2 linked regions of the Arabidopsis thaliana genome follow. The protein of the gene in region 1 interacts with the protein of each later gene in a pairwise test. Each region holds a gene or a part of one and is shown on either strand. Other genes may lie near its edges. The genes, in order: AT4G29780 and NDL1.

The links.
Region 2: the proteins of AT4G29780 (region 1) and NDL1 interact in a two-hybrid assay, tested with the Arabidopsis thaliana proteins (one large-scale study listed by BioGRID).

The regions. Positions count from the first base shown.
Region 1 is NC_003075.7:14,577,435-14,582,695, reverse strand, and holds AT4G29780 (nuclease), read right to left. Parts: upstream 3,134-5,261; 5' UTR 2,838-3,133; coding exon 1,215-2,837; 3' UTR 639-1,214; downstream 1-638. Other genes in the region: AT4G29770 (target of trans acting-siR480/255 protein), read right to left, coding at 5,231-5,261.
Region 2 is NC_003076.8:22,955,744-22,961,478, reverse strand, and holds NDL1 (N-MYC downregulated-like 1), read right to left. Parts: upstream 3,851-5,735; 5' UTR 3,494-3,850; coding exon 3,434-3,493; intron 2,971-3,433; exon of another isoform or gene 2,673-2,970; coding exon of another isoform or gene 2,670-2,672; intron 2,589-2,669; coding exon 2,489-2,588; intron 2,415-2,488; coding exon 2,317-2,414; intron 2,227-2,316; coding exon 2,138-2,226; intron 2,054-2,137; coding exon 1,993-2,053; intron 1,902-1,992; coding exon 1,737-1,901; intron 1,645-1,736; coding exon 1,588-1,644; intron 1,491-1,587; coding exon 1,435-1,490; intron 1,324-1,434; coding exon 1,188-1,323; intron 1,092-1,187; coding exon 873-1,091; 3' UTR 563-872; downstream 1-562. UniProt on the Arabidopsis thaliana protein: Interacts with the heterotrimeric G protein beta subunit GB1 and plays an significant role in GB1-dependent regulation of lateral root formation. Involved in a signaling pathway that modulates root auxin transport and auxin gradients.

The sequences.
Region 1 (5,261 bases):
TTTGCATCTCCAATTCTTTGTTTTCTTTCCATTGAAATCTCATTTAATCCACATTCACGTTTGTAAAAAAAAACATGATTAGAAACTTTTAAGTTTTAAATCAATGGAATCATGACTATGTTTATGTGAAAGTAAACTAAGAAATTACTTTTAAAAAGCAAGAGAGAGGAGAGATTTTAGAATTTAGACTGTTTTGTGTTTGAGAGTTTTAGAAATAATGAGAGGTTGAATCTCTTTATATAGTAGAAGTAGATAAGATTTTGCAGAACATTCTCAGGATAAACATGACATATTTTGAAACTATCTTGAGAATATTTTGAGACCATCCTGAGAATATTTCCATAAGATTCAACTCAGCAAACTCAATAACTCACAAGTATGACGGTTCGCAAGTCTGAAAGCCCTTGAGCCGACGACGGGACGTCCCGACAACCCGCAGCCTGGTTCGGTTCGGTCCGGTTTGGCCCAAGTGTCCCACTTTACACCTTTATTTCTCATTCAATACAACTTCATTTTTGACGTATGTGTATACCATTTTGTAGTACTCTTTACTAACTTTCCAATGCACTAATGACCCTACAATTCCGTTCAGCCGTTTGGCCGGAATTTGGCCGGAAAGTCACCGGAAAAGTTTTGTCAAAAAAGTTCCAACAAGTTTCATATTCAAATGTTGTATTTCATATGGCTTTTCCTCTGTGTGCGCCATGTGACAGTAAATAACATGTTCATATGGCTTTCCTCTTTGTATCATTTAGCCCACAAATAATGAATGACAAAGGAAAACATGCTTCCAAATTTGCATTCCTTCTCAAAGAGCTCAACACATCAATAGATAAGGAAGATCCTGCAAACGAAACAGATTAAGTACAACTTCCATTTATTCATGGTTGTACACTTGTACTTCTGTCTGAGCCTGAGCTTGTAATAAAAGTGGAATTGCTTCTTCTTTTTCTAGTCGACCAATTTTGTGAAAAATCGAAAGAGAAGAAGCTTATACTTAAGAGGTTTCAGATTCAATTTGTATAGAAAATACATGAACTAAAGATTACACAATGCTAATAAGTAACACAAACAATATCATCAGCCACTTCTACTCTCAATTCAACTATTCTTTCTGTATCCAACCAATCCCTAAAATGTTTTTATTCCTAATTTGGAAAAAGAATTTGCAATAAAAAATCAGTTTCAAAATAAGAAAAGGTGAAAAACAGAGCCTATAGAGTTCTTGTCCCGGCAAGTCCACGATGCAAGAGATTGTGAGAGATATGATCCCTCGTATTAACCGCACTAGCAGATCGGATATTATTCTCCGGCACCGCCACATCATCAAAAACCTCAAACTTCAACTCCGGCAACATCTCCTCCTTCCTCATCTCACAAATGTTATGCAACACACAACAAGCTCCAAGCACGTACGGCAGATCCTGAAGCTTCACCTCCGTCCGTTTCTGCAAACAAGCCCACCGTCCTTTGAGCCTCTCAAACGCAGCCGTCGCAATCCCCTGAATCTCTCCGATACTCTCGTTAAACGCGTGCTGCGTCCACGTCAGATTCTGTCTCGTGTACGGTACAAGAAGATAATCAGTCAACGGAAACCCAGAGTTTCCAACTATCCAGCTGTCACGTAACATCCCACGCGCCGCTCTTTGCCGTGAAAGCGAAGATTTCTCCAGGATCTGATCGTCGGTGAGAGATCCTGGGTTTCCGATACAAACGTCGGTGAAGATCCCGTCGGCGTTGACCACTCCTTGTACTGTTATCGAGTACGACGTCTTCTGATTCCTCTCCGTGTGTCTCTTGTTAAAATACGCCGCCACGTGGACTTTCGGAGCGATGATCGGAATATGTGTGGTGTAGATTGATCCGACGACGTTTGGTATTTTGTGGACCGATTCGAATTTGGCTTTCGTTGAGTTTATCTCTGAATCCGACGGCCAGAGGAGATACTTGGGCATGAGAACGTCGTAGATCGCGCGGCAGACTTCGATGACTAGTTTGTGGCAAGTTGAGATTCCCAGACCGAAACGCTCCGACACGTGGCGAAGCGGAGCTCCTGTCGCCAAACGCCAAACGCAAACGCCTACGCGTTTTGGAGCTGGAATCGCGTCTCTTAACATCGTGTTTTTCTTCGTCACCGTCGTATCTAGCTCCTCGCATATTAGGTTAAACGTCGATTTGCTCATACGGAACTCTCGCCGAAACTCGTCTTCTGGAAAATCAGGCCGGCTTACTCTGTCCCACCAGTCCGTGGTTCGTTCTTTAACCCATAACCTCCTATGACTCGGTCCTGACCCGGAACCGCTAGCGATATCCGCGGTCGGAACCGGAGCAGCTAAACCGGTTGTGTCCGCCCCGGAAGCTACCGCGGAAACCACAGCCGCAACCGCGGTTTTCCGTGCGCGTTTTGAACGCGAACCATCGGTTTCACCAGCTGCAGAGTAATGATCTTGCATTTGATTGTAATAACCATCCATTGTTTTCACTTTCTTCTTATGATTAGCTTCAAGTAAAGACTTCTCTTTAATAAATTCAAAATCCCACTGTTCTTGTTGCTGTTTAGCTTCCTCGTCTAACAACAGAAGCGTCGCGAGTATATCTCCAAAAGCAGCCTTATTATTACCATTAACAGCTCCTAGAACTTCTGTTCCTCCGCCGCCACCACCACCGCCTTCGTCGTCTTTTCTTGGGCGTTTCTTTTGATTAGTATTATTGTCGTTGCTATTAAAACCTTCTAATCCGAAAGTAGAAGGAGAAGAGTCCATGTCTTGAAATAGACCAAGGAAATGGGAACACTCGTCGTCTTGTAGGTATGGAAATGGGAAAGAAGAGATTTCCATTAAAAAGGGAGAAATTAAAAAATGTTTATTTGTTTCAGAGCTTTGACGAATTTTGTGGTTTGAAAAGTGTTTGACTTGTTAGATTAAGATGTGAAATCAAAAGCTTTTTTCTCAAGTGTTTGAAGTTTGAAGACCAAAGATTTTTGAGTTTTATGGTTTTGGTTTTGGTTTCAGACGATATATATATATGAAAAAGGTTTATTTGTCTGTGTTTGTAAAAAAATAGAGAGAGACGCAAAGGACGAAGGAAGCGCGTGAAGGTGTGAACGCGGTAAGCTAAGCGGGATGGGTTTGACGGTGACTTGACTTTCTTTTTTGCAGATTATTTTATTATTATTTTTGATTAGATAAAGCGTTTACTCGTTACTGTTTTATTGAGATTGCACCGCGTAAATCTTGTTTTTGATAAAAGACAAAAAGAAACACATGTTTTATTAAGCCTTATATATATTAGATTCGATATGCATAGTGCAAGTACAAACTAATTTAGTAATACTGGATTTAGATATATATCAACTAGAAGATTTGGCATTAAATCCTTGTGAGTTTAATTTATTAGTCTTTTCTATGACATTTGATGAGTAAAGGAAATTGGTTTACTAGTCTTATTATTATCTTATGATTATAAAAAAAAAAAAAAAAAAACTGGCTCTATTTTATATAGATGTGACTAGGTTATATTTTTCTGTTTTTTATGTATGAGTATTGACTATATTGAGATTCATTAAAATAAAAAAAGAATTGGTCTATAAAAAATTGTTCTAGCTTATTGTTTTAGTAAGAAGAGAATTGGTCGATTATTTAGGAACTTACCAATCCATTTTCAGATTATTTTTTCCAACTACACATTTAAAATTTGAAGTAGTTAATTCAAACTTTTAATGGTTATTTAATTAGCCGTTGGAGAGAACGTTAATTTCGTTTATCATGTTTTGGACTAAGAAGTTATAAGTAAAAATAACTTCCAAGGGATTGTAGAATTTCTGGCGTAAAAGTTAAAAAAGAAAAAAAAAAAAAAAAAAAACCCAACACAATACAATAATTAAAAACATTTAATCGTCGAGTCCAAAATAATATTCTTATTAGTTGTTTATATTTGATTTTGTATGTTTTTTTTATAGATTTACGCGGTAAGGGGGCATGGTTGGTGCCTTTGTATGCCTTTGTCTTCAATAGGAATATTCTTAATATGTTTAAATAAATAATGAGGCTCTTTCGTGTCTTTCTTATTTTGTTGTTACTTTTGAGGAAAAAACACGTTTCCAGAAGAGGATCTCAGAAGTTTCTTGGAAGTGGCAGATTTTGGTAATTTTGTTGTAACGCGATAAAGATGGTAGGCTCTTCGAGAGGGATGTATCTTACGAGTTCTGATTCTGACTTCTGAGCTGAGCTGTGCAAGCAAATAAGCTTTTCATGAGAAGAAAACGGAAGCCAAGTTTCTTGTTTATGCAAAATAGTGTATTTATGTCTTAAGAAGTTACTTGTCCAAAGATCTCATGTTTATTATACACAAAATTAGTACTATCTATTGCGTAGATATTTTTGGCTTTTGGATAAGTCTGGATAAGCATAAATTTGTTATTTCCTTATTTGTAAAAGAGAATCTAACACATTTACATTTTGTCCTCCTACTAGTAGTAGTAGTAGTAGCATATCATGAAAACTCTTATGTCAATTAAAATAAAGCTTCAACATTAATCCGTGTTTCAACAGCATCATGAAAAGACATTCTTAGAATCTTCAAATTTGTACCGCAGCAGTACAACGTAACAAATTAAACGTTATAAATACTTTGCAGCCAAATTTGGTTGTTGTGAAGATGAATAAAAGTCTACCTATACAAGAAAAACGAAATTCTATCTTTTTAGTTTAGAGTCGTTTTTTTTTCTAGTCGGCAATGGCATATGTCTCTTTTGAGTTATGTATGGTAATTGAGTTGGGTATAAATAAATAAATCGGTGACTTGGGCTTGGAGTGAACCATGCCTTTTGTCTGTTCCAATCGTCACGTTGACCGTTGACATAGCCACAATATCAGTTGACTATTAGCCACTAGCCAGTTTACAATAGTCAACAAATTTTTGGTCTTCAATATGCTCCTGCCCTTTTAAAATAGTAAAATACTAATCCTCACAATTGGTGTCACATTCAACAGATAGATTCTAAATATATCTTTAGAAAGTAGTAGCGATCAACTTCTTAAAACACAGATAAAAGTCTCATAAAACAAATCTTAATTTCAGACCACAAACTGAGTTCCACAACAAGCATACGGTTTTCAAGATACTTCACTTCTTAAACATAAAATATAAGTCTGATAAAACATTCTTAATATAGGAACGACAAACTAGCATAAACTTCTCCAGATACTTACCAAGATCTCAGCTCACTTGGTTAGTTGATAGAAAAACGTGGGATACAGAAG
Region 2 (5,735 bases), on another chromosome or scaffold:
TCTGTGGTTTTGAAAGTGAAAAACTTTCTGACCATTCGCTTATAGAGAGGTGCTGAGGTAAGTGAGCTTTGTTGTATTTGTAATTTACAAAACATCTTACGATGTTCAATACAAGAAATGGCCTTAATTTGATGTTATTATTCAATCATTAGTTATCCAAGAGTTTATACACTTCTTCTACTTTGTATTCGGGTTTGGCTCGGATTTACACTTGTCTGCATCCATTTTACGGGCTTGACAAACATCGAGGAGCATTGAACTTGTTCAGACTAAGTGAAGCATTCTTCGCCTTTACCCCGGTTCATGAGGGACTATGTTTTCGTCAACCGCAACTAATCCTTATGCGTATCTTATATCAGTATATAACTTACGGCTTCTGCAAAGAAGGATTGGTCTCCATTTCCATTTACAATTCAATTCAGACTAAAAAGTTTCAATCTGATGATCCAAATAGTTCAGGATCAAGACTGTTAAACCATTAAATATCAATATTAAGCAAAAACCAGATTCTAACTTGGTGAAATCAATGTGCTTGTAAGGCCAATTAGAGAACCAAAAACAAAATGCAAAATGAATTTTATTACTTGCTTCTGCAGAGTTCGTCACAAAACAATTGTTACAATGTCACAAGAACAGAACATTTTACATATGTATAAAAAAATGAAATAATAAACAACATTTTGTGGCATCTTAACAAGAGAACTGTCGTGTCGGCTGACTACAAAAGAATGTGTTATATGATGGTGGCTTGAATTTTTCTTCTTCGTCTTCTTCTTCTCAAATCTCCCTAGTATTGTTCTATATCTACAAAAGCCCTAAGATTTCTTCTCCTCAGCAAAATTAGAACCAATGAATCAGTAGTGCACACACACTTAAGCCGCCGAAATTCTGGTTTTGATAGGCTTAAGCTTTAATCCCATGCTTTCAGGAGAGAGAAGCTCAGGTGAAATACAAGAAGGGCTAAGTGGACTTCTAGGGCTCTCGGAGAAAAGAGATGGTCTGTATAATCCGTAACCCATCAAGAAATATTCCATTGGGATCAACATTGCATGTGGTTGCTCCTCTGTTACCATTGAACCACAAGCCTGAACCTGATAATATTTCCAAGAAAACATCTATTAGTAGCAAGAAAACCAAACATGTGTTTATATGTAAAGTACAAAGGATGAGGATTCGTTTTCTCAAACCTCAACCAAAGCACAGTATCCTCTATCCAAAGTTGCTGCCATGTGAACAGCTTCTGAGTAGAAAGGAGATTGATCTCCGATGAAGATAAGTGTCCTGCATTTTAGTTTCTTCAATCCACTTGAGATGTCAGGTCTCCTGCAAGAGCAAAGGTTTGGTTTGCATAAAGTTAAAGAAAAGTCAATATTTGACACCATGAATGAATGAATGCTTCTAAGGTAAAGGATTTCGAGGTGTTTGTTGTGTTACCGGTCAATGGCGTCAAGAAATCGCAAAACGTTTATGCCTTGTCTTTCATCAAGCAGCTGAGACAATCACCAAAAGTGCAAGGTGTGAATCACTGATACAGTAAAATCAATCTATTGATGAAACAGAAAAACAACAGAAGAGATAAACACTGACTCTTCTGCAAGCTTGTGCTATATCTGACTCTGGAATCTCAACGTTACCACGGACTTCCTGTAGCAAGCAGTTGCAACCGGTTTAAATAAGAGAAGTCTGGAAATGCAACAAGTGCAGAGAGAGAGCAATGGTAACTGCAGTGAACACACCTTACTAAAATATCTCTGAAGCAAAAATTCCTTTACCACTCCACACATTCCGTAATAATATAACAAGTTTGTGATAACCTTGTTGTAAAACCATTCAGACCAAGACGGCGCCTTGCATAACGGTGAGACAAGAATCAAACCAAGAACCCGTTCTCTATGTTTCATCTGAAAAGTTTTAAAACATAGAAGAGATGATAAACACAGTATTCTTCTGAAGCAATGGGCAATGAGAAGAGAAAAATAAATAGGAACATACCGCGAATAAGGTGAGGATATAAGCACCTGCAGTCACTCCCATACACATCACAACACCAAGGCTGAACAAAAAGCTTATACATTGTTACCCGAAAAACAAAAGTTGAGAACTTCAATAAGCCAAAAATAAGGGATTCCATCGTTACCCGAAAAAGTTGAGAACTTCAAGGATCTGATCTGCCAAGTTTTCAGCAGAAGGGACTGAATCATTAGGACAAATTGGAGCAGCTCCTAACTGCAAGAAAACAGAGAAGTCATGTGAGTAAGTAATCACGTCAAGCAAAGCATACGGCAAGTTAAAAAAAGAGAAACTAAAATATTGGACCTCATGCCCAGGTGGACTGATATGGTAAATGCAGAAGTTATGAAGCAGCAATGAAGCTGCTTCAGGACAGAAGAATAACCCTTGGAAGCATGACATATCTGAAGAAGAAACAACAAAAACATTAATAAATTTAGCCATTACATTAGTGCCTATAGAGATTCTTTAGCCTTACGGTTTAGGGCTAAATCAGGATAAGTAATCAATGCTGGCTTTTCTCTGTCTCCATAGACAATGACAGACACAACACCACTAGCAGTTTTAACACGATGCTCCTGAACACAAGAAACCAACAAGTTATAACAAAAGTAACGGATCATGAAACCAACAGAAAAAAACTAAACTTTTAACCATACCATTTGTCTACTCCATATTCATAAAACATGTGTTTGTAAACAATGAATCTATTTTCTCGTTAGTAAATGTATACTAAAGATAGGAATATGACAACTGACTTTAGGTGGAAAAGAAATGCTTTGATTAACACACACACAAAAAAGAAAACATCTCTGTTAAAGCTTTTCCATGTGCAGCTTTACTACTTTTAAGGGCAAAAAAACAAAACCAAAAACTTGATCATCAACAACCAAAGAGAAATGGCCTAATTCTAATCATTGTGGTTTTTTTTTAATAAAAAGGGAATGACAGTTTAAAAAAGATGAGCTAATATGAGTCTTAATGAGATAATAAAGAAGCATTAGTCTTATTAAACAAAAGGTTAATGGTAGACAAAAACAGCTGGCATTTTCTTTTCTTTTTTCTATAAGATAAAAAAATCAAAAGGCAATAAGACAAAGAATAAGGAATACAAAATAATAATAAGAAGAAGATATCTTTGAATAGAGAGAAGAAGAAGATCCCAAGAATAATCCCATCTGGAAATGAATCATAATAATAAAAGAAGTTTCACAAATCCACAAGCAAAGAATTTCTCCAAGAACATTTGATTCAAACAAAAGATGAGTCTTTTTTTTACAAAAACAAATGAATCTAACAATGCCCACATGTCTGTTCTTCCCCAAATCAACAGAAAGATTAGATTTAAGCAAGTTTAAGATAAACCCAGAAACAAAAATCAAAGCTTTATTCGGATCCGAGTTCAAAGGTTAAAGAATGAAACCTTGCCACCAAGATAGATTGTTCCAACGTCGACGGAGACGGCGCCGTAAGAGTCCGTCATTGGCAACAAAAGCTCTTCCGCTTAGCCGTCACCGTCGCCGTCGTTGTTTTAAGAACGCCGGGATAACAAGAGCTTCTTCTCTTTTCTTCTTCTTCTTCTCCCAACCTCTAGATTGTTTTTTGGCTTTTCTTTAGCTTATATACAAAGCGATGCCTTTTCTCTCTCCTCTCTCTTAAGACCTCTCTGGAAAAAGAAACGTTTTTTTTTCGTTTTCCTTTTTTTCTTCTCTTTCGTTTTACTCTCTCTATAAATTTTGCGGTGATTTCTCCATAGACGCCGGTAGTCGTAACATGACACGCGAACGGTCAAAAAACTTAAAATAAGAAACATTTTTAATTTGATTTATTTATAGAAACTTATTTTTGATAAATATTATTAACCAGCTCGAATTTCACCAATAACAGTCGAATACTAATTCGGAAAAATTGCTGTAAATAAATTGGATAATTGTATAAATGTAAACAAATATTAAATGTTGATAATTGGATAAGTAAGGGAGGTGCGAAGTTTTGGTTAACAACAAAATTAACATTAAGCAAACCGAATATAAATTTTTAGAGACTGTTTAGTTTTATTATTAAAAAAAAAAAGAGAAACCAAATTTTCTAAAAATACTATTACATATAAAAAATTATTTTTATGTAATAATATTAAGAACATCAATATTTAATAAACAATTGTATATTTATACTATTCGCAATTTTTTCACTTTGAGTTGGAAAAAATATATCTTAGTAGAAAATTAGAAATGGACTAATCTTAAACCATCAGATAGGCTTTCAAACATATTCCTATCATAAGAAACATGATGAGTAACACCACTATCTATGATCCATGTATTTTGTGATAACACTTGTCTAGAGGACGTTAGAGAACATAGTAACCATAAAGTCGAAGGTGAGAAAGAGATATCATTGAAAGCAAAACTTTGAAGTGACCAAATCTGCTGAGTTAGCTGATAAGACCTTGGCAAATTCGTAATGTGAAATCTAGTATCCAAGTCTTTCCAGATCTCTGCAGCATCATTGAAACGAAGTATACTCTTATAGATCTGCTTTGTAACAGAATTAAGGATCCTAGATTTAACCATACTGTTGCATCGTGACCACACTCTAAAGCTAGGATCAGATTCAGGAGGTCTTGGTAAAGTTCCATCAACAAAAGCAATCTTATTCTTAACGTTCAAAGAAACAAACATCGCAATCTTCCAAGAAGAGAAATTAGATCCATCAAGTACCTCAGAAACAAGTGTATTCCCAGGACTCACCATTTGAGAGCGCGAATGGCGAATAATGAGCATCCGAGAAGTCGAACTGTGGTAAAGGATAGATCGATGGTTTTGAATTGAAATTTTGTTGAAACGGATTCGAAATTGGTGGAATCGGTGGAATCGGTGAAGCTTGAACACGATCTGGAGTTTTCTCAGCTGAAGTTTTGCTCGATCTTCTAGTACGACGCCGCAATTTCTCTACGGAAACCATCGCAAGATCAACGAAGCTCTAAACAACTGAAATTTTCCAGAAAACGTAGAAAATTGAAGAAACAAAGAATCAACGAGTTTGGAAGATCCAAGAGCTCGAAGATACTCAGAGTTTAGGTTGAATCGGATGAATCTTCGAGATCCATCACTCTGATACCATAATAGTTGATGAACGAATTCAGAGAAATGAAGAAGATGAGAAAAATTTGTTATTCTTCTTAATTGTTCTGTTACATGAAACACTCTTTATATGTAGAGTGTTCCGGTTTAGTAACCGGTTTACATTGTACCAAACAACAATACAATAACCGAATTTATGGTTAATATCTTAAGTTAGACCTATTTCAAAACAAGCCTAATTTTCACAATAGTCAATTTTTTGTTGTTGAATATTTGGCCGAGAACTAGACTTCAATAATGGGGAAGAATAACTAAAATCGGTTCTTTCTCCTCTCCCAAAGTCAACTAGATTCACCAAGAATAACTAACTTTGGTTAATGATTACATGTTCTTAAAGTTATGGATCTTTTGGGAAAAATGGACTATTTGGCAAAAAGAGTGGCAAAAAGAGTGTGAACATAAAAAATACAAATGGGGCGTTCCGAGAATCGAACTCGGGACCTCTCGCACCCAAAGCGAGAATCATACCACTAGACCAAACGCCCTCATTTGATATTTCGTTAATTAGATAAATAATACCTAATAATACAAACTTGAATTGGTCTTGCATTTGGGCCGTTAACAGGCCTTGCTAAGTCATAT